Nothobranchius furzeri: one gene and its partners. The protein of the gene in region 1 binds, or shares a complex with, the protein of each later gene. Links are inferred from orthologs where the notes say so. Each region holds a gene or a part of one and is shown in the gene's direction. Other genes may lie near its edges. The genes, in order: ran, ipo13b, nup50, exportin-5 and sirt2.

What was found.
Region 2: the proteins of ran (region 1) and ipo13b are in contact, whole or in part, in a crystal structure (PDB 3ZJY), measured with the Homo sapiens proteins. The link is inferred for Nothobranchius furzeri from reciprocal best matches to the Homo sapiens genes RAN and IPO13. Residues at the interface, in NP_006316.1 of Homo sapiens: Lys37, Lys38, Tyr39, Leu43, Gly44, Val45, Val47, Pro49, Trp64, Gly74, Leu75, Arg76, Asp77, Gly78, Tyr79, Ile81, Gln82, Asn103, Arg106, Asp107, Arg110, Val111, Tyr147, Trp163, Arg166; in NP_055467.3 of Homo sapiens: Leu33, Tyr34, Tyr35, Ile39, Lys42, Gln46, Leu49, Met50, Gln53, Glu73, Tyr76, Phe77, Ser80, His83, Ile84, Ile118, Thr121, Arg122, Val125, Val172, Glu175, Glu176, Thr179, Ser414, Asp415, Arg784, Asp785, Pro787, Asp788, Pro829.
Region 3: the proteins of ran (region 1) and nup50 are in contact, whole or in part, in a crystal structure (PDB 7MO0), measured with the Homo sapiens proteins. The link is inferred for Nothobranchius furzeri from reciprocal best matches to the Homo sapiens genes RAN and NUP50. Residues at the interface, in NP_006316.1 of Homo sapiens: Arg29, His30, Thr32, Gly33, Glu34, Phe35, Glu36, Phe52, Val124, Asp125, Ile126, Lys127, Ser153, Asn154, Tyr155, Phe157, Glu158, Phe176, Ala178, Pro180, Ala181, Leu182, Ala183, Pro184, Glu186, Val187, Asp190, Pro191, Ala194, Tyr197; in NP_009103.2 of Homo sapiens: Pro344, Pro345, Lys346, Val347, Val352, Lys362, Cys363, Lys364, Phe366, Tyr367, Lys368, Asn371, Glu372, Phe373, Lys374, Glu375, Lys376, Gly377, Ile378, Lys384, Lys390, Gln392, Leu394, Arg396, Thr399, Asn400, Leu401, Asn403, Ile404, Leu405.
Region 4: ran (region 1) and exportin-5 share a complex: the UniProt entries of both Homo sapiens proteins name them as parts of the nuclear export receptor complex. The link is inferred for Nothobranchius furzeri from reciprocal best matches to the Homo sapiens genes RAN and XPO5.
Region 5: the proteins of ran (region 1) and sirt2 are in contact, whole or in part, in a crystal structure (PDB 5FYQ), measured with the Homo sapiens proteins. The link is inferred for Nothobranchius furzeri from reciprocal best matches to the Homo sapiens genes RAN and SIRT2. Residues at the interface, in NP_006316.1 of Homo sapiens: Phe35, Glu36, Lys37, Lys38, Tyr39, Val40; in NP_036369.2 of Homo sapiens: Phe96, Arg97, Glu116, Phe119, Gln167, Ile169, His187, Ile232, Val233, Phe234, Phe235, Gly236, Glu237, Ser238, Leu239, Phe244, Gln265, Val266, Gln267, Pro268.

The regions. Positions count from the first base shown.
Region 1 is NC_091741.1:91,737,498-91,741,757, forward strand, and holds the start of ran (GTP-binding nuclear protein Ran), read left to right. Parts: upstream 1-1,455; 5' UTR 1,456-2,322; intron 2,323-2,815; exon of another isoform or gene 2,816-3,034; intron 3,035-3,157; 5' UTR 3,158-3,170; coding exon 3,171-3,215; intron 3,216-3,353; coding exon 3,354-3,438; intron 3,439-4,260. Other genes in the region: ndufs8b (NADH:ubiquinone oxidoreductase core subunit S8b), read left to right, coding at 1-67, 190-321. UniProt on the Homo sapiens protein: GTPase involved in nucleocytoplasmic transport, participating both to the import and the export from the nucleus of proteins and RNAs. Switches between a cytoplasmic GDP- and a nuclear GTP-bound state by nucleotide exchange and GTP hydrolysis.
Region 2 is NC_091748.1:47,618,610-47,622,120, forward strand, and holds part of ipo13b (importin-13), read left to right. Parts: intron 1-563; coding exon 564-705; intron 706-941; coding exon 942-1,108; intron 1,109-1,363; coding exon 1,364-1,484; intron 1,485-1,645; coding exon 1,646-1,793; intron 1,794-1,878; coding exon 1,879-2,060; intron 2,061-2,238; coding exon 2,239-2,265; intron 2,266-2,416; coding exon 2,417-2,551; intron 2,552-3,511. UniProt on the Homo sapiens protein: Functions in nuclear protein import as nuclear transport receptor. Serves as receptor for nuclear localization signals (NLS) in cargo substrates.
Region 3 is NC_091741.1:31,616,092-31,619,602, reverse strand, and holds part of nup50 (nuclear pore complex protein Nup50), read left to right. Parts: coding exon 1-59; intron 60-226; coding exon 227-763; intron 764-884; coding exon 885-969; intron 970-1,040; coding exon 1,041-1,159; intron 1,160-3,511. UniProt on the Homo sapiens protein: Component of the nuclear pore complex that has a direct role in nuclear protein import. Actively displaces NLSs from importin-alpha, and facilitates disassembly of the importin-alpha:beta-cargo complex and importin recycling.
Region 4 is NC_091752.1:19,803,406-19,807,600, reverse strand, and holds the start of exportin-5, read left to right. Parts: upstream 1-1,395; 5' UTR 1,396-1,574; coding exon 1,575-1,676; intron 1,677-2,017; coding exon 2,018-2,139; intron 2,140-2,210; coding exon 2,211-2,283; intron 2,284-2,363; coding exon 2,364-2,501; intron 2,502-2,784; coding exon 2,785-2,967; intron 2,968-3,050; coding exon 3,051-3,077; intron 3,078-3,173; coding exon 3,174-3,359; intron 3,360-4,195. UniProt on the Homo sapiens protein: Mediates the nuclear export of proteins bearing a double-stranded RNA binding domain (dsRBD) and double-stranded RNAs (cargos). XPO5 in the nucleus binds cooperatively to the RNA and to the GTPase Ran in its active GTP-bound form.
Region 5 is NC_091753.1:65,615,932-65,619,965, forward strand, and holds the start of sirt2 (NAD-dependent protein deacetylase sirtuin-2), read left to right. Parts: upstream 1-1,228; 5' UTR 1,229-1,769; coding exon 1,770-1,785; intron 1,786-1,880; coding exon 1,881-1,924; intron 1,925-4,034. Other genes in the region: dmac2 (distal membrane-arm assembly complex protein 2), read left to right, coding at 21-183, 265-445. UniProt on the Homo sapiens protein: NAD-dependent protein deacetylase, which deacetylates internal lysines on histone and alpha-tubulin as well as many other proteins such as key transcription factors.

The DNA.
Region 1 (4,260 bases):
CGACATGACCAAGTGCATCTATTGTGGTTTCTGCCAGGAAGCCTGTCCTGTTGATGCTATTGTGGAGGTGAGAAAAGAGAAAATGTCATCAAACAAAAAGCAACACTTCTTCCACAAAAAAGAATCGCTGCTTACCTTTTCCTATCCAGTATTTGCTGTTTGATATTTTTCTCTCAACCTTCTCCTCAGGGTCCAAACTTTGAGTTTTCTACAGAAACGCACGAGGAGCTTCTTTACAACAAGGAAAAGCTGCTCAACAACGGAGACCGATGGGAGCCTGAGATAGCAGCCAATATACAGGCAGACTATTTGTACAGATAAACCACTTCTTGTAAAAACAAACCATTTTGGCATCATGCTTATGTACATTATAGAAATAGCTACATGTTGTGGAGTTAAAATGCTCATTTTGAAGCAAGCCCAGTAATCATACATTAACTGGCCATAAACAAAAATAAACAAATCTAACAAAAGTTGTTCTAAAAGCTTTTTTATAGGCACACCTTCACTGTTGAGCTTTTTCTGTAAATCATAAAACTTAACTGAGTAACTTAAATTTTCATCTTGTATTTATGACTGGGGGGGGGGGGTGGCTCTGTTGGTTAATCCTTTATTAGAAAAATAACATCTTAAATCATTTAGATCCTGTTGTTGTCAGGAATCAGTCTTGCTGCTTCCCATCTAACTGAGGTTTATATCCTCAGTAATGCGTGTCTCTCTGAGCTAAACGGCTGTTTAGTCTGGTTACATTGGTTAGTCCTTATAATGTGTTTCTGGAAATCATTTCACTATTCCCTCGAGTTCTACTTAGTAAGCATTTTTGCAAAATTTTCTTTATCTTTCGTTATTTTAGATATATGGCAGTTTTTAACCTAATGATGGTCTCATGCGGTAATGATTTGACCTGTCTCCAACTGACTCGACTATTCCTTATCCACAGAATGTTTTCTACTCAGTGGATCAGCCAGGGTTAAATACTACAGCTCTTTTGCCATTGGCTAGAACAGGTTGGGAGCTTTCTTGTTGGTCAGGCACTGTTTGGCTTGTTTTGTTGTAGGATTGGGTTAGTTTGAACTGTTCATGTGTTGAATTCATTTGTTTTTACTCACTGATATTTACAGACACATTAAAACATTTTTTATTGTTTTTAAGTTGAACATTTCAATGTAATGCTTCTCCAGAACAACTGAGGGTAATTAAATAAACCATATTTTAAACCTAGGCTGGTGTTAGATTAGTTGGAGAATTGGGAGTGAAGCATACCTGCAGCTTCTGATTTCAACCTCAACAGAATTGTTTTGACCAGTTTGAAGTGTATTTTTATATAAAGGATATAAGTAATTACTATTTTATTTAGCTTTCTGAATGGACTGAAACATTCAACAGGATTGATGAGCTAACAGCTAGTTTAAGTGCAATCACAACTTGAAAAATGTCATAGCAGTTTAATAATGTAATTTAAAAAGAGTACAAATTAGTTTTAATTCTCTCTGCTTCTTTTGTGCCTCATCAACAGTCATAACATGTTTTTCAGGAAAATTCTTCAAGCTTGTTAGATCTGTTTTATTTAACTGCATGATCTAATATAAAACACAGGCCCAGAATCATTTGAACCTATTACTTGGTCCCATTTCTGTCAGCTCTGGTTTGCAGTTTCCACTAAGGTATGAACTACGGGTGAAATTATACAAATTGATTATGTATTTTTAAACCAGATGAGTTTTAAAGGCCACTCTTTAACCCTGCGTGTTAACTTTGCTACAGGAACAAACAATGGAAGAGCCGGGGTTAAAGCATGGACATAAACACAGAAATGTCTATAGAGTTAAGTAACACATATCATCGGGCATCTGCCTCCCTTCATTACTCCGTAATCTTTAGAGAGCCTGAAAGGGGTTCCTGAAGTAGAGAAGTACAGAAAGACACTGGTGTCTGGGAAAGGCTCCTCCTGTCAAAACCTCCTTTTAGTGCAAATGTCAAATTTATGATTTATAACCCCGAAGGTCCTTGGAAGTTTTCAGAAAAGGGCAGAAACCTTTGAACAACAAAAACTAGCTGGCTTCTTATCGGGCCCATATGTCTTGATCAACACTTTAAAAACATGATATATACGGTTTAATCTCTAGAAGTGTTGCTTTGAGAACAAAGCAGCGGAGTGCGCATCGTGAAGGTATATCAGACGGATGCTGATTCATGTTCTATATTTTATGCGTTTTTGGCGCTGCGGAGGCCACGTGACCAGGGCGGAAAGTGACTCATAGTCCACGCTGAATCTGCCGCGAACGCAGCCATTTACTCTTTCCTCTCTTCGCAGTGACACCGGTGAGTCGCTAGTTTCCTCTTCAATTGAGGGCCTTCCTAAATGTCAAGTTTGGATTGTTTTTAAGTCACTAAGAATGAAACAAAACTTTTTGGGTTATTTTCTTCTTTTGGGTTAAGGTCGTTTTGCATGTGCAGCCTTAACAGCAGTTGAGGGGGAAAGGCCGTCGCATTTTTTGTGCTACCAGCTAACGGGGAAGAATGGCTTCCATGCTGTGCTAGCTGTGAGGCTAGCGAGCACAGCAATGCTCCATTTCACGGCTTTGTTCTGGGATATTTGTTCCTATTACTCTTATTTGTGTATATTTGCCAGGGAGTTTTCACAATTTTTTCTTGTTCGCAATTAACGTTATTTACGGAAGGCGTCTTGTTTAGACCAGAAATTGACGGCAACATGGAACGCATTAGCTTCTGTGACTGTCTGATTGTTCCAGTCGAACCTGAAAAAGTGCGCTCAGGCATCATATGGCGCACTAAACTAACGCCTGTTAGCTTGAAGGCTAGTTGGTAACCGCCAGTGCTGAGGCTTTTGGGGGGCACGGTAGCTTTGTTTTACTTTATATTTTGGCACACCGGAGAGCAGTTAGAGGCTGTTTGTTGATGCGTTAGCAAGCTTTCATAAATTATAACGTCGCATTTGAACATGTCGGAACGTTAGCTTGGATAGAACATGCTAGAAGTTATCCCTTAGCTGTAAACTCGTCTGTACAGAATGGTGCGTGTTCAAAGCCCCGTGTGAACAATATTCCCAGAATGCCAAATTGAGTTATTGAGAATCTTTAACTTAAATCAACGTATAGATAACACTAACGGTAGATTCCCGCCTTGTTTGTTTCAGAATATTTGGAACCATGGCTGACTCTATGGGACAGTGTGTACCTGTGGCGGTGTTCAAGGTAAGAATCTACTTCTTAAGAATGATGTTAAGTATGATCTAATTATGGCGCGTGAGGGCAAAAATGTGTGCGTTTTAGCTGAGGTAACTGGTGTACCAGCACAAACCGGTCAGTAGATAACTGGTCTGTTCTTCACAGCTGGTGTTGGTCGGAGATGGAGGCACGGGAAAAACAACTTTTGTGAAGAGACACATTACAGGAGAGTTTGAGAAGAAGTATGTTGGTGAGTAACCTGAGAAAGTTAAATGTAAACTGTACAAGACTAACCCAGTGTTTGTTTTTACCAAATTAGGTTTGCCACTAATGTTTAGAACATCACATTTACAGAAAATATTGTAAAATCGCTGCATCACAAGTTTATGACACAGACGTGTAAAATGCACAGTTCTGGTCTTCCTGTGAAATTAGTGTTTGTTGAAATTACTTCATAAAACAAGTGGTTTTTATTATTCTTGTAGTTGAAAGATAAACACAACTATTTCATGTCCATGTTATTTAAAACCATTCTCTTATCAAGTCTATGAATAATAGGCCAAATAAGAATGACTGTCCTCAGTAATCCCAAAGAGTGCAAAAATGCAGAAATTCTAAGTACTAGTTACTCCATATAGCTAGCTATAAATGACTTCCAGCATCAGTCACATAACTGATTGTAGTAGATGGAAAATCAAGCAATACCAACCTTTTTATATATTAGTTTAACAAACTTGGTGTCATTCTGCAATGTCTGAAATTCTACAACTAACAGCTGCTTTGGGTTGGTGATGTTTTTAAATGGAAAACGGTAAAACAATGAGTCAAACATTATTTTTTGTGAAACTATACAGGGTTTAAACTTGTAGATAACATCTTTGTCCTAATTTATATTGAAAAGAATTGAATGGGAGAGAAGGGAGATCCTGGATGAATACTGTTCCCGGTATTATAAATATATTAACATGTCAAACATTCAACATAAAGATGATGAATAATGTGTACTTTATTGATCCCCTTGGGGAAAATCATTCTGTTTGATTCATTCATGAGAAGCATTAAGCTACCATTT
Region 2 (3,511 bases), on another chromosome or scaffold:
AACTGCTCCTTTTCGGACTTAAATATTTGATTGCTTTTGTGTTGAGTTGTGTTGTATAAAAAATGTTTTTTTTTACATTTGAAATAAAGTACAAGTCATAAGTCAAAGTCAGTGATGTCATACATACAATTTAAAATATAAAACACGTGTAACAGCCTTAAGCATGGATTCTAACATCACAGGAGTGAGCCAAAATACTAAAATCAACAATCATCCAGTTTAAAATGAGAATAAAATAGACAAACGGCATACAACAGCCCAATATAAGATGGGTAAAAGCAATCCAATAATGAGGTAAAATGCTAAGAAACACCTAAAATCAACATCTCATATTGTGTTAAAAGCCAAGACCAAGAGATGGGTTTTCAGTGCCAATTTAAACTAGGGGGAAGGCTGTTTGACTTGTAGAGGCAGGTTGTTCCCGTGGAAGTCAGTCCTCCTCCTTGTCTGTTTTTAAATCCCTATATCCAGTCCAAACCTCAGGAATCAGACAGCTGAATAGATAGTTTATATAAAATAAAATCACATTCTTCTTTCTACTGCTCTTATTTCTGTACCCACAGGACTCTGTTGGAGCAGGTGGATCACTGGCAGAGCTTCCTGGCTTTAGTAAACTTGATCATGTTTTGTACGGGCATCCCCGGCCACTATCCGGTCAACGAGACCACAAGCTCCCTCACACTTACCTTCTGGTACACACTACAAGTAAGAATTGTTCACATCTTAAATCAACCTGCTACTTGGTGTGCTGGGACAGGCTTTGTTTTGTCTGTAAACTGACATCCTAATGCTAAAAAAATAAATAAAAGAATTCCTGATAAATGTTTTTACTTTCTTTAGTAAATAATTCGTTACTGAATTGTTTTCACATGTAAATGCACATTCTCGTTTCCTTCAAAATGCAAATGAAGTATTTGTGGTGATGTTTTCTCCATTTACAGGATGAGATCATGTCATTCGAGACCGATAAACAGGCGGTGTATCTCCAGGTCTACAGGCCAGTGTATTTCCAGCTGGTGGACGTTCTGCTGCACAAAGCCCAGTTCCCCTCTGACCAGGAGTATGCATCCTGGTCCTCTGATGAAAAGGAGCAGTTCAGGATTTACCGGTGCTTGTTTGTGCATTTGTATTCATGTCCGTCTCTGTTAACACGTGTTCTGCTGTGTTTCACTGACTGTTCAGTGTATCAGAAATGACTCCCTGACAGGCTGATTGGTCAGAAAATGAGTCTGTTCTTCTCTCTAATGGACTCTTACTGAACTGACAGCTGAGCAAGCAAAACGTGTCTGTGGGATGGATGAGCTGATAAGATGTCATGATTTCGTGCCACTGAAGCATCTGTTTGTGTTTGTCCGTCCTTCAGGGTGGACATCTCCGACACGCTCATGTATGTGTACGAGATGCTGGGAGCGGAGCTGCTGAGTAACCTGTACGATAAACTAGGGCGACTGTTGACGAACACAGAGCAGCTGACATCATGGCAGGTGGGTGAAGCACGCAGACGAGGAAAGAATTATTGCTGCTATTTTCTATTTCTTCCTGTCTCACAGAGACGCCTGCACTGAAAAAATTCAGCACTCCACTTCAAATCAATACAAGCTAGAGGAAATGAGATTTGAAGTCTCAGCCTGTTCTTGTCCTCCAGCACACAGAAGCATTGCTGTACGGCTTCCAGTCCATAGCAGAGACGATAGACGTGAACTATTCTGACGTCATTCCTGGCTTGATAGGACTCATCCCCAGAATCAACATCAACAATGTCCAGTTAGCCGACACTGTGATGTTCACTATAGGTAAGGGGGAAATGTGATCAAAACCTTGTGATGGACAGTAGCTAACGGTTTTTGCTCTGTGTTTGAATCGCTGCTGTCTGTGTAGGGGCTCTGGCTGAATGGTTGGCCGATCACCCAGTGATGCTCAGCAGTGTGCTGCCTTTGGTGTTGCAAGCATTAGGAAACCCCGACCTTTCCGTTTCTTCTGTCTCAACCTTAAAGAAAATCTGCCGGGAATGCAAACACGACCTGCCACCTTACGCAACCAACATAGTAGCAGTTTCTCAGGTACATCGTTTAAAACAAGCGTGGAAGCAGTTTATAACACAAGTGCCTCTTCATCACGTTTCACATCTGAGGTGTTGTGGATGTGTATAATGTTCCAGAAATAACTCGGCTGTGTTTGTTTAAAGTTTCTTTCCTTTGTCTTTATTCTGCCTTCACGATGACTCTCTTGTTTTTCTAGGAGGTGCTCATCAAGCAGATCCATAAGGTTTGTGTTTGTTGTCTTCACTCTGACAGCTCAGAAGAAAGGAAATCTAAAAATAACATCATGTGTTTACAGGCTGCAGTTTGTTTTAATTAGAAGTATTTATTGACTTTCAGCTCCTAAGTTGAAGCTAAACCTGTGTCTCCTCCCACAGACAAGTCAGTGTATGTGGCTGATGCAGGCTCTTGGCTTCCTGCTTTCGGCTCTCCCCGTGGAGGACATCTTAAGAAACCTTCATTCCCTCATCACTCCTTACATTCAGCAACTGGAAAAGCTAGCAGATGAGACGGTCAGTACACACAGCTAGAGAAAAGCAACACACACACACACACACACACAGAGCAGGAACAGTTGGACCTTGGCCAAAAGGATCAGAGCTGGTGCCTGTATGGTGTTGCTGCAGTGGAACATTTCTCTGCAGGACCAGATTGGTTTTGACCCCGCCTGCACCGTGGGCAAGTGACTCACATGGAAGCAGCAAAGATTCACCTTCTCACTCGTTAATGAAGTAAAAACAAAAGCTATTTGTTCATGTTTCTCCACCTTGTGATTTTGTTTGTCTTCAAAAAGAAAATTCTTCACTTTGCTGAAATGTCACACCTATCAGAGCTCAGATATTTACTCTTCTGCTGCGATGTGTGAATACAGAGCAGGGCTGATCTAAAAATACTTTGATATTTGCTTTTTACTCACATCGGTTAAACCCCTGGCACAGAGGAACAGAGATACTAAGCTTTAATTTCTCTCTTTGTTCCTGTCTTACTTCCCCACCCTCCACACAGTCTGGTCCAACTTTCTCCCTCACGTGTTGTCTTCCACGCAGCTTAATGTCACAGCATTACGTCAGGCAATGCAGTCAAGTGCTGATTCTGGAGCTAGCTAAACAGTGGCACCTAGTGGGAAGACCTCTGTGTTGTTCCTCATCAGGGCTGATGGGGAGCAGTGTGTGAGTGTGGGGGAGACATGCATCTGAGGAAGAGGAAAGGATGGAGCTATCAGGGGGTGTGGCAGCAACGTCCACGTTCTCTTTTTGGGCGTTCATGTTCTATCACTATGGAGACAGCAATGATTAAACGTTAGCATCAAAGTAATTGTTTTAGCTTTAGGATACATGTGTCTGTTGTCAAGGATCTGTTGCTATTTTGGGGACAAAGTGTTGTCCACTAATAACTGTTTTCTTGTTCAGACCAAAAAGAATATCCTCCTCATTTCCTGATGATCTTTACCTCCTTTTTTAACTCATTACTTT
Region 3 (3,511 bases), about 60 Mb from region 1:
CGGTCTGACCAACGGGGGCAGCAAGGCTCTGTACACTGGGGTCTCCAGTGCCACAGTAGGTGAGGACAACCCATCATTCTCCTAATGTCGCCTGTCTTCTGGAGGACTTAAGTCCACCAGATGCGTGATCAGGACCCTGACCGATACTCAGAAACAGATATTCAGAACCTCAGAGGTTGCCACATTGACTTGACTCATCAGGACCACCTCCCAAATCTTCTTTTAGGTCTGACCTTCAATGGGCCCTATGTCCCACCGACTGCTGACATCACCACCCGACAGACCAATGGCTCCTCCCCCAGCCCAACCCAGAGTAACAAGGAGTACCGGCGGCAACTGACAGCGCTGAACTGCTCTGTCCGTGACTGGATCACCAAACATGTGAACGACAACCCTCTGTGTGACCTGAACCCCATCTTCAGGGATTATGAACGCCATCTCAGCAGCATCGAGCAGCAACATGGAGGAGGAGAAGCTGCTGATGGAGGCTCGGAGACTCCTCCTCCTTCAGCAGCTCTGTTCTCTTTCAGTAGAACCACATCAGAGGACTTGGCCCAAAAAGTCTCTGGCACTGCTCCAGTGGCTTCTGGCATCACGTTCAATTTTGGCCAGAAGGTTGACAGCTCCGTTCTAGGATCTTTAAGGTCCAAATCAGCTGCCTCCAGCTTCTCTTTCTCCTCTTCAAGCCAGACCTCCCTTTTTGGAGCTCCTGGACCTGCTGCTCTGCCACCCTTCGGTGGGACCAAACCCGATGAGGCTGCAGGTTCTGTTTGATCTTTTATCCGTAGTCAAAAATTATTTCATTACATCAAAGTTAAACACAATTTAGGCCTTTAGGAATTCCTGCGTGAGATGTTGACCAGATCCTAACCCACTTCCTGCAGATGAAAATGGAGATGAGGAGTCGGAAGAGCCACCCAAACCAGAGGTGAAGGAAGTGAAGGAGGATGACGCATTTTACTCAAAGAAGTAGGTCCAATAATCAGCCTGATGCCTGAGGCGTGGAGCTGCTAATGAAACCTGTGTTCCGATGCTTTCAGGTGCAAACTGTTCTACAAGAAGGAGGCGGAGTTTAAGGAGAAAGGAGTTGGAACGCTGCACCTAAAAAACACCTCAGATGGAAAGATCCAGATGATCATTCGTGCGGACACCAACCTGGGTAAACCAGACTAACAAACAAGTGTTAAGATGTTGTAACTGAAGTCAAAAATCAAATTTTCTGTTTCTGTCAAAACTGGTGAAAACGGTTCAGTTTTCTTAAGCCTGGTTTATGCTTCTCCGTCAGCTCCGCAAGGGACAGACACGCACGGATTGACGGAAGCGTTTTGCGCTTTTACTTCTCCGTCTCCTGGGGAGTGTTGCAAAGCAATTGCCTGACAGGACCACAGAGGGCGTAGCGCTGTTCTGTGGTATCCTGTCATGTATCGGTCCAAGATCGTGTGTTTATATTGTGTTTTTTGTGTATATAAGAGACTTTTAACACGGACGTATTTGTCTCTCATTCTCCCACCGCTTCATGCGCTCCCCACCTCTAAACCCACGTTTCCTGTCATTTCCATCCACAAATAAAACGCTTGCTGCGCATCTTTTCACTCCTCCAGTCACGGGAGAATTAAACGTTCATATTTTTAGAGTTTTTTTCGCGAGGTATTCTTCAAGCTTCTCCGTGTCTGCCGCTAGTTATCCTCGGCTCTCTTTGCAATGGCGGCGCTGTAAACAACAGCGGCGTCCTGCCCAATCACAAGCTTGCGTAATCCGTCTCGTTCGACGGATGTTTAAAAAAGTGGGCTCGACTCCGTACGTACTTGCGTGCCTGCCGGAGCCCTACGCAAGGACGGATAATGGCGTTGCGTGTCTCCGCACTGACGCAGACGGAGAAGCATAAATCAGGCTTTAGTCAGTCAAGCCTCTACCAGAGTCTTACTCCACCCACATTTTCAGTGTAAGAAACGGACCACAAGCAAGCGTCGCCTGGTAGGTGCAGTCAGTGACAGACTGCTAGACACTCATCTATACATTTATCAGCAAAAAATGTTCTCATTCACTTGTTCAATAAATTATCTTTAGTCTTGGGTATTAATGAATGCCTTGTGGACAATTTTCCCTAATCACTTGGAGCACAGAGTAGAACAAAATGCAGCTTAATCACATAGTAGTGGTAGCAGCTACCCTGTAAGATGTCTTTAAGTGACATATGTGGAACACAGTTCTCTGAGAGAAATTAGATTTTCTTAAATGATTTGACAGTATTCTTTAACAAAATGAAAATCTGAACATATTTTATGGATGGTGAAGTGTAGTTAAACTGAATTTCTGCAATTTTCATTCAGTCTGGTCAGTATCTGTAATAGTCGATTAGGTCATTGCAAAAAATTCAAATTTTTTTAGAGGGTTTTGAAGAATCTTTCCTGAGTTTTCCCCTTTCAGAAAAATGTATGATTCTTCAGAAATCCGTAAAAGTGATTGCCTTATCATGTACTGTGGTGAAATTAATTCTATTTTCCTAAACTAAATGATTTTACATGACAAAGTATGAATGAAATGATGGTTGTACAGGATGACAGATGAATGAAATGATTGAGTGGAAGTTAGGTGTTTTAGCAAAACCTTTGAGTATCTGATAACTTGAGGTCTGGGTTGTAAAGTCAGTTTGGCTGGATGGTTTGATAAGCTAGAGATTATTCATGAAACCATCCAACGCTATTTGTGCCAGGTCTACGCACCCTTACGTGAAGATCAGGTCGAGATGGACACTGCTGATGGTGTGAACCTCTGGCACCGGAACTTGTAGCCAGCTCTGAGTACAACCCGTCTAGTATCAGAATCAGAATGAATTTTATTGCCAGCGCTCCAGCGATCCAGAGCATAGGAACTTGACTCCACAGTACAACCTGACCAAGATTACACACACACACATGTAGACAGGACAGATACAGGCAGACCACGGGAGCAGCCATGACGGCGCTCCTTATAGTAGATGAAGAGGGGATTACATGAGGAGAGTTCAGGGGAGAGAGAAAAAGGCATTAACAGGGTTACACCGGCAGGGTGTAGCACTCCAATGCAAAAAAAAACCACCCAACATATAAGCACAAATGTCACAGTTCACAACATGAGACCCAGTAGGTAGGGGGGAGGGGCTGGGACCCTGCTTTCCTCAGCGGGGGCTGCCTGTGTGGCGCTCAACCGGCTGAATCCACAGGTGGGAGGGAGGTCACGGGAAAGCACAGAGAGCAGTGAGTGCCTTCATCTTGATGACCTCGATGCAGAGACCACAATCTGAAGGTGGGGGGTAGGTAGGGTTTCACAGCATTTGTCTGCATTCCTTCCATCGTGGGGGTTGTTTTGCATGCAACTCAAGGCTGCTTATGGCATCAGATTCGATAACAGAACTTTGTTTGGGTCAGACAGAGATAATTTTTCCTCTCTGCCTTAAGTCTGTATTGATCATTCAAGTCCTCCAGTGAAGCCAATTCGGTGATTAAACATCTCCACACCGTCCGGTGACCCT
Region 4 (4,195 bases), on another chromosome or scaffold:
CCCACTGCTGTTGTGAAATGTGTAATGTCATCTCTTCGAAAACAAAATTAAATAAATAAAACGCCGGATCAAGCGGTTGCTTAGAAAGGTCAAACTGAGGAACTAACCTGAACTGGATAAAATCAAAAGGGTCTTACTCAGGAAGCAAAATGAAGTTGGGACATAAAACGGAAGTTGTTGGCACAAATATCTCCTTCACTTGATTTTCGCTTTGTTTTTAATAGCTAACTAAATAAATAAATAAGAACGAAAGCAATATGTTTTTGCTGGATTTAACTTTACTTTAAATAAGTGAAAATCCACATTGACCTGCATGGTGCCAAATTGAGCTATTATCACATGGGAGCACTAAAACTATCTGTTAGAGAAGGCAGCACAACATCACAGATAAAATCTAAAAGGAAAAGAATAGAAATTCTCTTTATTGTCCTCCAGTTGGAACATTTGGTGTAACAGCACCAAAGTAAATTGACAGTAGCAAATAAGATTTACAATAATAATAAATACTAAAAGGCCATACAGGCCTATATGTGTAAAATAATATTTGAAAGATTGAATCAATTGAATTTACCACATCTGAAAATAGTGTGCACGAGATTGTAGCTAAATGTTGTGGAGTGAGAAAATGAATGGAAAAAGTTATTGTTTAAATGATGGACATAAAATGTTTCTAATGTGAATAGACTGAGTAAATATGCAAAATACTAAATGTGATAACCTAGAAATAGATAAATAGTAACGCTGTTAAGAAACAAAGTAATATGTTGCTTCTTTACTTGATGTAATTGTTGAGTATCCATACTTCATTGGAGTAATTATCTGACTGGAGTATTAGCTGACTTATTCGCTCTATTTCTTACATTTTCACACAGTTATCTCTATTTTCCATTCCTTAAATTTTAAAAATAGCCTAGTTATTGCTATTTTATTTTTGCTTGTCGGGGTTAAAATATACAAAAACAAAAAAAAACCTATCAAAATCAATTGTGCCGTACCATCCAGATAGTGACTTTGATTAGATCTTGATTTTAAACGTCTACTATTCTGTCACCTTATTAGTTTGTATCATCCAAAATGCATTCATCTTTGGTGGACATACATGCAACTGAAACAAGTAGCCTAATGTATTTAAATGTGTCAACAATACAAGATTATAGTCCTTGTGGCATTTGGTGAAAGTAGTTGGTTTAGCTGAGATTGCAGCATGTTCTGTTAGAAATTGAAGTTGTCCATAATTATAATTATTTATAATCAGCAGCACAGCAATAAAAATATACATTGTGGTGTTTTTTAAGCTTTTGGGGTTTTGATAATGTTTCACAAAATCCGTTTGATATTTAGATAAGACTTCAAAATTCTGACATTTGCACAATTTTGATTGCATTTATCAAAGCACTTTAAACTACAACATCCAGAGTTCCCCTCAACGGCAAGCCGAAGGATTCAAACCAAAAAGCAGCTTCGCGTTTTCTGCACGTTGGCGCTTCCCATTGCTGCACGCTTCTTGTGGTGGTTTTGCTTAAGGAGGTTGCTTGCTTTCGTCTTTAACGGTGTGACAGACGCTACCTGAAGTCATGGCTGAGCCGGTGGCTGCCATGTGCGATCAGCTTACAAAAGCTGTGCTTATGATGATGGATGCAGAAACAAGCCAAGTTGACCGAATGGAGGCCCTAAAGGTAGCATCGTTACCGGTTGCTAGCTAGTTAGCCACTACTCGTTAGCGAAGCTAGTAATTTCTTGCTGTTTTCAAGGGAAACATTATTAGCCCACTTAACCGAATCAATTACTGGTATTTTATGTAGTAATATCTTCGTAACAGCATGTAGCAAGTTCTGGTTTAGCATTATTATCACGTAAATGATTACATAATTTTACTTGAATTAGCTCATTCATTTGTTGTTGCGTTTACAAGCCTTTGCATGAACAGGTGAATTCCACTTAGAGGTGTTGATACTGAGATTAAATAACATCAAATTAATTTAACTGCCTATAAAATAAAGAAGTTTATCTTGCTCAGTTCTGTGAAGACTTTAAAGAGTCCAGCACCCTTTGTGTCCCATGTGGCCTTCGGTTAGCTGACAAAACCCACCCAGCTTTGGTGAGACACTTTGGTTTGCAAATCCTGGAGCACGTCATCAAGTAGGTGGACCACTGACACAGATAAACAAAGAATAAAGCACGTATGATTTTCATTTATTTTCACCTTTCAGGTATCGGTGGAACAACATGGAGCAACAAGAGAAAGTCCAGTTAAAAGAGTGTGCCATGCAGCTGCTGTCTTCTGTAGGTGAAAGAGTAAAATAGTTCAGATGAAACGTCAGCCCTGACTGTCTTCAGTATCTGTCACTTTCCCTTCTTATCAGGGTACCTGTTCTATCATGGAGGAAGAGAGACACATCAAAGATGGCCTATCTCGAATAATCGTGGAAATGATCAAGAGAGAGTGGCCTCAGAATTGGCCGGATATGCTGGAGGAGATGGAGGCTCTTACCAGTCGGGGGGTGAGTGACATGTATGGTCCAGGAAGTGTTGCTTTTTTCCTTAACCACTTTGGATTCAATTTAAATAGGATTATGTAATGCCTCGTAAACAAATGTACTCCTGTGGGGGATTTATCACGCTCGTTTTCATATGACGTCATTGCTCAGACTTGGCCACTGTACAACAGGTGTCTTCATCTCTCCCCTGTCAACATTAACAGTTTTATTGAATCGGTTGACCTAAGAAATACAACCTCCCTTGAGATGAAGTGTATAAAATAGAATAAAAATGTATATGTCACAGGAGACGCAGACAGAACTGGTCATGCTGATCCTTTTGAGGCTGGCAGAGGATGTCATCACTTTCCAGACTTTGCCCAGTCAGCGGCGCAGGGACATCCAGCAGACGCTCACTCAAAACATGGAAAGAATCTTCACTTTCCTGTTGACTATTCTGCGTATTCAAGTTGAGGAATATCGCATAGTGGTCAGTGTGGTCCAAACTTTGGTACTTTTCTTTAACTTTATTGAGTTTTGAACGGCTGAATTTGATTTTTCTTTGTCATTTAGAAAGTGGTGCCCGCGTGTGAACTGCAGGTATAAAAAAAAAAGCAACATCTAGACTAAACTCAACGTGGCCACCTTGATTTCACTTGTCTCATTGTCTCTGATGTTTTGCCTACAAACATGCAGGCCAAAGCTCACTGTCGCGTTGCCGTGGCGGTGCTCAACACACTCGCAGGCTACATAGATTGGGTGTCATTGGTGCACATCACCAGCGGAAACTGTAAGCTGCTGGAGATGTTGTGCCTACTGCTGGTTGAACCAGAGCTGCAGCTGGAAGCTTCGGAGTGTCTGCTCATCGCTTTGAGTCGGAAGGTGAGTCGCAGGAAAATAAGTGTTACTTTAGTTTAGTTGGTGTGTCATGGTGTGTCTTCACCTTTCTCAGTGGCCTAGTGGTAGAGTGTCCGCCCTGAGACTGGGAGATCAGGGGTTCGATTCCTGGTCGGGTCATAGCAAAGACTTTGAAAAAATGGGACCCAATGCCTCCCTGCTTGACACTCAGCATTAAGGGGTTGGATTGGGGGGTTAAACCACCAAATAGTTCCTGAGCGCGGCTTGTCTGCAGCGCACCGCTCCCCCAGGGGATGGGTCAAATGCGGAGAACAAATTTCGCACACACACCTGTGTGTGTGACAACTAATGGGACTTTAACTTTAAAGTGCTCCAGACTAGCAGAGCTATAAATAAAGCTTTATTTGGACTTAAAGCAGAAATCTGGAGCTTTTTTATCCAACACCATCATCTAGAGGCTTATGAATGTATAGCACCTTAAGCCGTCCTCACCACTTCCGTATTTACAGCTGGAAGCAACACCTCTGAGCCCTCACTCATCAAATGTTTGTAGAAATATTCCTATATTTCTTTCTATAAACGAAATGTAGAATGTTCGTAGGAACGGTAAAAGTCCTGATTTATGAAACATGCGGTGGCCTCTCCTACGTACGTTTCTTCGCAATCGTCTAACGATAAATCCCACGTTTATCGTTCATACCCAGGTGCTTGTGTCTGTTCAGTCATTTACATACAGAAACGCCCATTTAACCATATTTGGTCACACCACATCCTCAGCTCATGAAGGAATTCCCTTGGTTTTTTCCCCCCAAAAAATTTTTTTTAATTGAAAGCAAGATCGAGACACGTCATCCCACTCA
Region 5 (4,034 bases), on another chromosome or scaffold:
AAATATTTGTGTGTTTTCAGAGCATCAGCACCATTTACGGACACTAAAGCTTCAGGGCTGTCCTGAGGTGGACGACTGGTTCCTGGCTAAACTCCATGTATTGCAGGACTCTCTGGAGGAGCTGGATATCTCTCACTGTCCACTCATCACTACAGGCGGCCTGGCAACACTTAAAAATCTCAAGTAAAGAGCCTAAACTCATAGCAGAGTCTAATTTATAAATAATAAACAATACTGGAACATGTTTTTGGTTTTTCTGCTCAGGAGACTGAAGCACCTGAACGTGTCATCCCTCCCGAGGCTTCAGAATCCCGGGCTGGTGATCATCTTGCTGGAGGAGATGCTGCCACACTGTCAGATCATAGCTGATGGTTATGGCCACAGACTGAGACCTGCTGATAAGGTGTGTGTGGAGGAGGAGCGTGTACAGGGGCAGCAGCAGTAGATCGATGGGACAGCAGCTATAATATTTGTATATTTTTATTTATGACTTATGAGGGAACACAAAAAAATAAATACAGATAAATAAAAAAGGGTGGGATAGACAAACTGCCCATGTTTCTTAGATTATTTGCTGTTTAGGTTTGAGATGATCACTTCCTGTTTCCATCATGGGAATATGAATATGAAGAAGCTCTTTTCTGTATCATTTAAATGTTATTTTTGTCCTTGCAGAGTTTTCGTTTGTGGTCTTGATTGTACATTTGCTTAATAAAGATTATTCTATTCAAAATTCAGATGAATAAATCTGTTATTGTACATTATATGTTGGGCAAAAGGAGATCTGAGGCACTCAGGAGATGCAACATCAAAAAGCCTTTATTGGTGCATGGCTAAAATAGTTAGAAACATAAGCGCCGACGCGTTTCAGCCCACGGGGCCTTCGCCAGGGCTCAAAATGTTTGTCGGTCCTCTCACTTCCATGTTAAGAAGGCCAATCAGTGACATCTGCTGAAGTTGAGCAGGCAGGCAGCATCATGATTGGATGACCAATAACGCACAAAAAACACTTTTAGATTCTAAACAATATTGTAAGGAGACATACTTACACATGTTAAATTACACTTAGAGAATTGAGAAAAAGGAAAAACAAGTAAATATGGTAAGAAAACATAGAATTACAAAAAAGGAGCAAAGTCCAATTCTCAATTAAGACCTGGAAATTTCGTAGCCAATAAAGGCTTTTTGATGTTGCATCTCCTGAGCGCCTCAGATCTCCTTTTGCCCAACATTCATGTGGATCCCTTGGCTGAAGAGCACCAGATAAAATTTCTTACACCTCTGCAGCACGTCCAGCATTTTTCTCTATTTTCATATTGAACATTATAGTCTGGCTGTCTATATATCTAATCCTGACAGTAGAAGATTGAATGATAAAACTAAAGCCAATGATCCAGAGAGACGTTGCTGCATCAGAGTTACAGCCCAGAGCAGAGCGGTGAAGATGCACCTGGCTAGCTCCAGCTGGACAAACACACCTCTGTGTGTAAAGATCTTTGTTTTCTGTAGAGTTTATTCTTCATTTTCAGATACTAATAATATCTGTACTATAAATTATAATCTCCCGTGGTGGCATTTTTTTGCTTACATTTTCGGGTTTGTTAACCTGAGTAGGAACCACATGATCGGGTTCATGACGAACTCGGACGCTATTTATGACGGACAAAAATAATACGGAGCGGAAGTAGAGCCAACAGCTGAGGCCTGAAAACATTTATTAATATTAAAGGCTTTACATTTAGTGCTGTTACGTGTCCACAGACGGATAGATGTCTGATGCATCAGGTAGGGCAGCTGTCATGTCCGAACAATAACTTGCATCGCTGCGCTAGCTAACTAGTCAGTCGAGGTTACTTGACACGTTTTGTTTTTTATCGCAGATTTTCCCAACCAAGTAGAAGAGGAGGTTTCACCCGAAGAACAGGTGAGACTCGTGGTGGGAACGTATATTTATGTCGATGGGTGGGAACCCGGTGGCCTGTAGCAGCTCTTCCGCCTTCGTGGAGCCACGGAGACGAAACCAAAGGAAGACACGTCGAGAGAAGAAAAACACTCATTTAGAGTCAATTGATATGTTTAGAAAAACGTCCGGGAATTATGTTCAGACTAAAGTTGACGAAGTGCTGAACCTCTGTGTTGTCGTTGTTAGCGAGGCGTCTGGGTGTTTTACCCGGTGACAAGCCGCGAGGCCGGACCACCAGGTGTGTCGGATGGTTTTGGTCATCTCCGACCCGTGGGTGAGAGGAGATGTGATGAAGAAAGCAGCAGATGACTGCATGAGCTCCACGTCTCCCCCTTTGACTGTAAACGCCCCCCCCCCCCCAAAAAAAAAACAAAAACAAACAATCAGATGTCTCAGTATACACAATAGGAGATAAGAATGCACCTAGAACATCTGGAGCTTAAATACAATGTTTACTACTACTAATAAAGGTTTCTGGTGTCTGGAGGTGGGCCACATGTGCGACTCCCACAGGTCCATCATTTCTCCCACCCCTTGAACATTTTGTGCATTTAACTTCAATTGTCTGGTGTTTTCACCACCTTTGTTCTGCTGGAAGTTTTATATTCCTGAAGAAATCCAAAGTAGCTCCTAATGAAGGCAACGGGACTCCTTTAGTTTCTTAAAGATGTTTCGCTTCTCATCTTTGTCAATTCTGACAGGTGTAGGGGAGAGTCAAGCATATAAACCACAGCTGTGTATCACTGCTTAGCGAGTAGAAACTACCTATGAATACCCATCCTCCATACTCCTTTTGGAGTCGTTAGCCTCTATTGTGTGGAAGTTGTATTGATTAGATGTAGGAGGCGGTGACCTAGACTAAAACTGTTTGGGAATTAGAGTCAAAGCTGCATTATAGGTGGTAGAAAGTTGAAACCCAGTGCTTCCTCTTCTATTTAATGTAGGTCTTTCCCATTTAATAGCTTCCTTCACTCTTCTTTCAAACGCTCTGACAGGAATCTTGGCGTGACCTTTGACCCAGCTCTCACCCTGGATTCTCATGTCAGTTCTCTTATTCGCTCTTCCTTCTTCCATCTCAGGAACGTTGCTAAGCTGAGTCCCATTCTGTCCCGCTCTGAACTTGAGACAGTTATCCGCACCTTCATCTCCTCACACTTAGACTACTGTAACTCTCTTTTCACGTGTCTGAGCACTCTGATAAAGCGACCTTAAAAAACTTGGACGGATGAACCGCGCTGCAACGCGGCCTGGCGGGAATGTGGAAGTGGCGCTCAGGTCACCAAACAAAGGACAAGAAGCTAGAAGATCGCGCCGATGTTTACCAGATAAACCACGCTTTAAGAGAAGTCTTATTCTCACCTGGATTCCTGCTCGTTTACCTCTTTTCCTCCGACGTTTTCCCGGGACCGGACAAACATTGCCGGAGGCGGGGAGCTCGGGACCGTCGATTGGTTCCGGGCCAGTGCGCCACTCAGGTAAACAAACAGGATGGTACGTCCTCGTTGCGTCTTGGGCGATCGTGAGGACTAAAGAGTCTGGCGATCATAGGAGATGGTAGCGGGGACACCACTGAAGAGGATCGCAGACAGGAGCAAGGTGGAAAAGAGGAGGTTAGTGGAGAAAAGTTTGAAAAAATGGCCGGTGACTGTGGCTAAGCCAAGCACAGGCGCCATCTTGTTGTTGACCGGAAGCAGAAGTGAAATAACCCCACCCCCTGAGAATTCTAACCGAGCCAATCAGCGCTGAGTAGCATACGTCACACACCACAACGCCGAGTTTGTCATAAACATGTCGACTGAAGCGGAGTTCGCTGCGGCTCTTTCCTCTGGTCTAAATGACTTGGACAAGCGCTAAAAGCCTTTCTTCTAAAGAAAGATGTTTGCGCCGTTGCCAGACGCCATTTTTTACTGCAGGTAGAAAACTACAGCGTCGCGCGGTACAGTCGGCATTTCGTCTTTTTCCTGATTGGTTATTTTGAGCTGCCTAGTCCCGCCCCTCGTGTGCCTCTCTGCCTGTGAGTTCCCAGACTCTTTGTCTGTGCAGAATTCAACAGGACGAGTCTGGCAGGCCA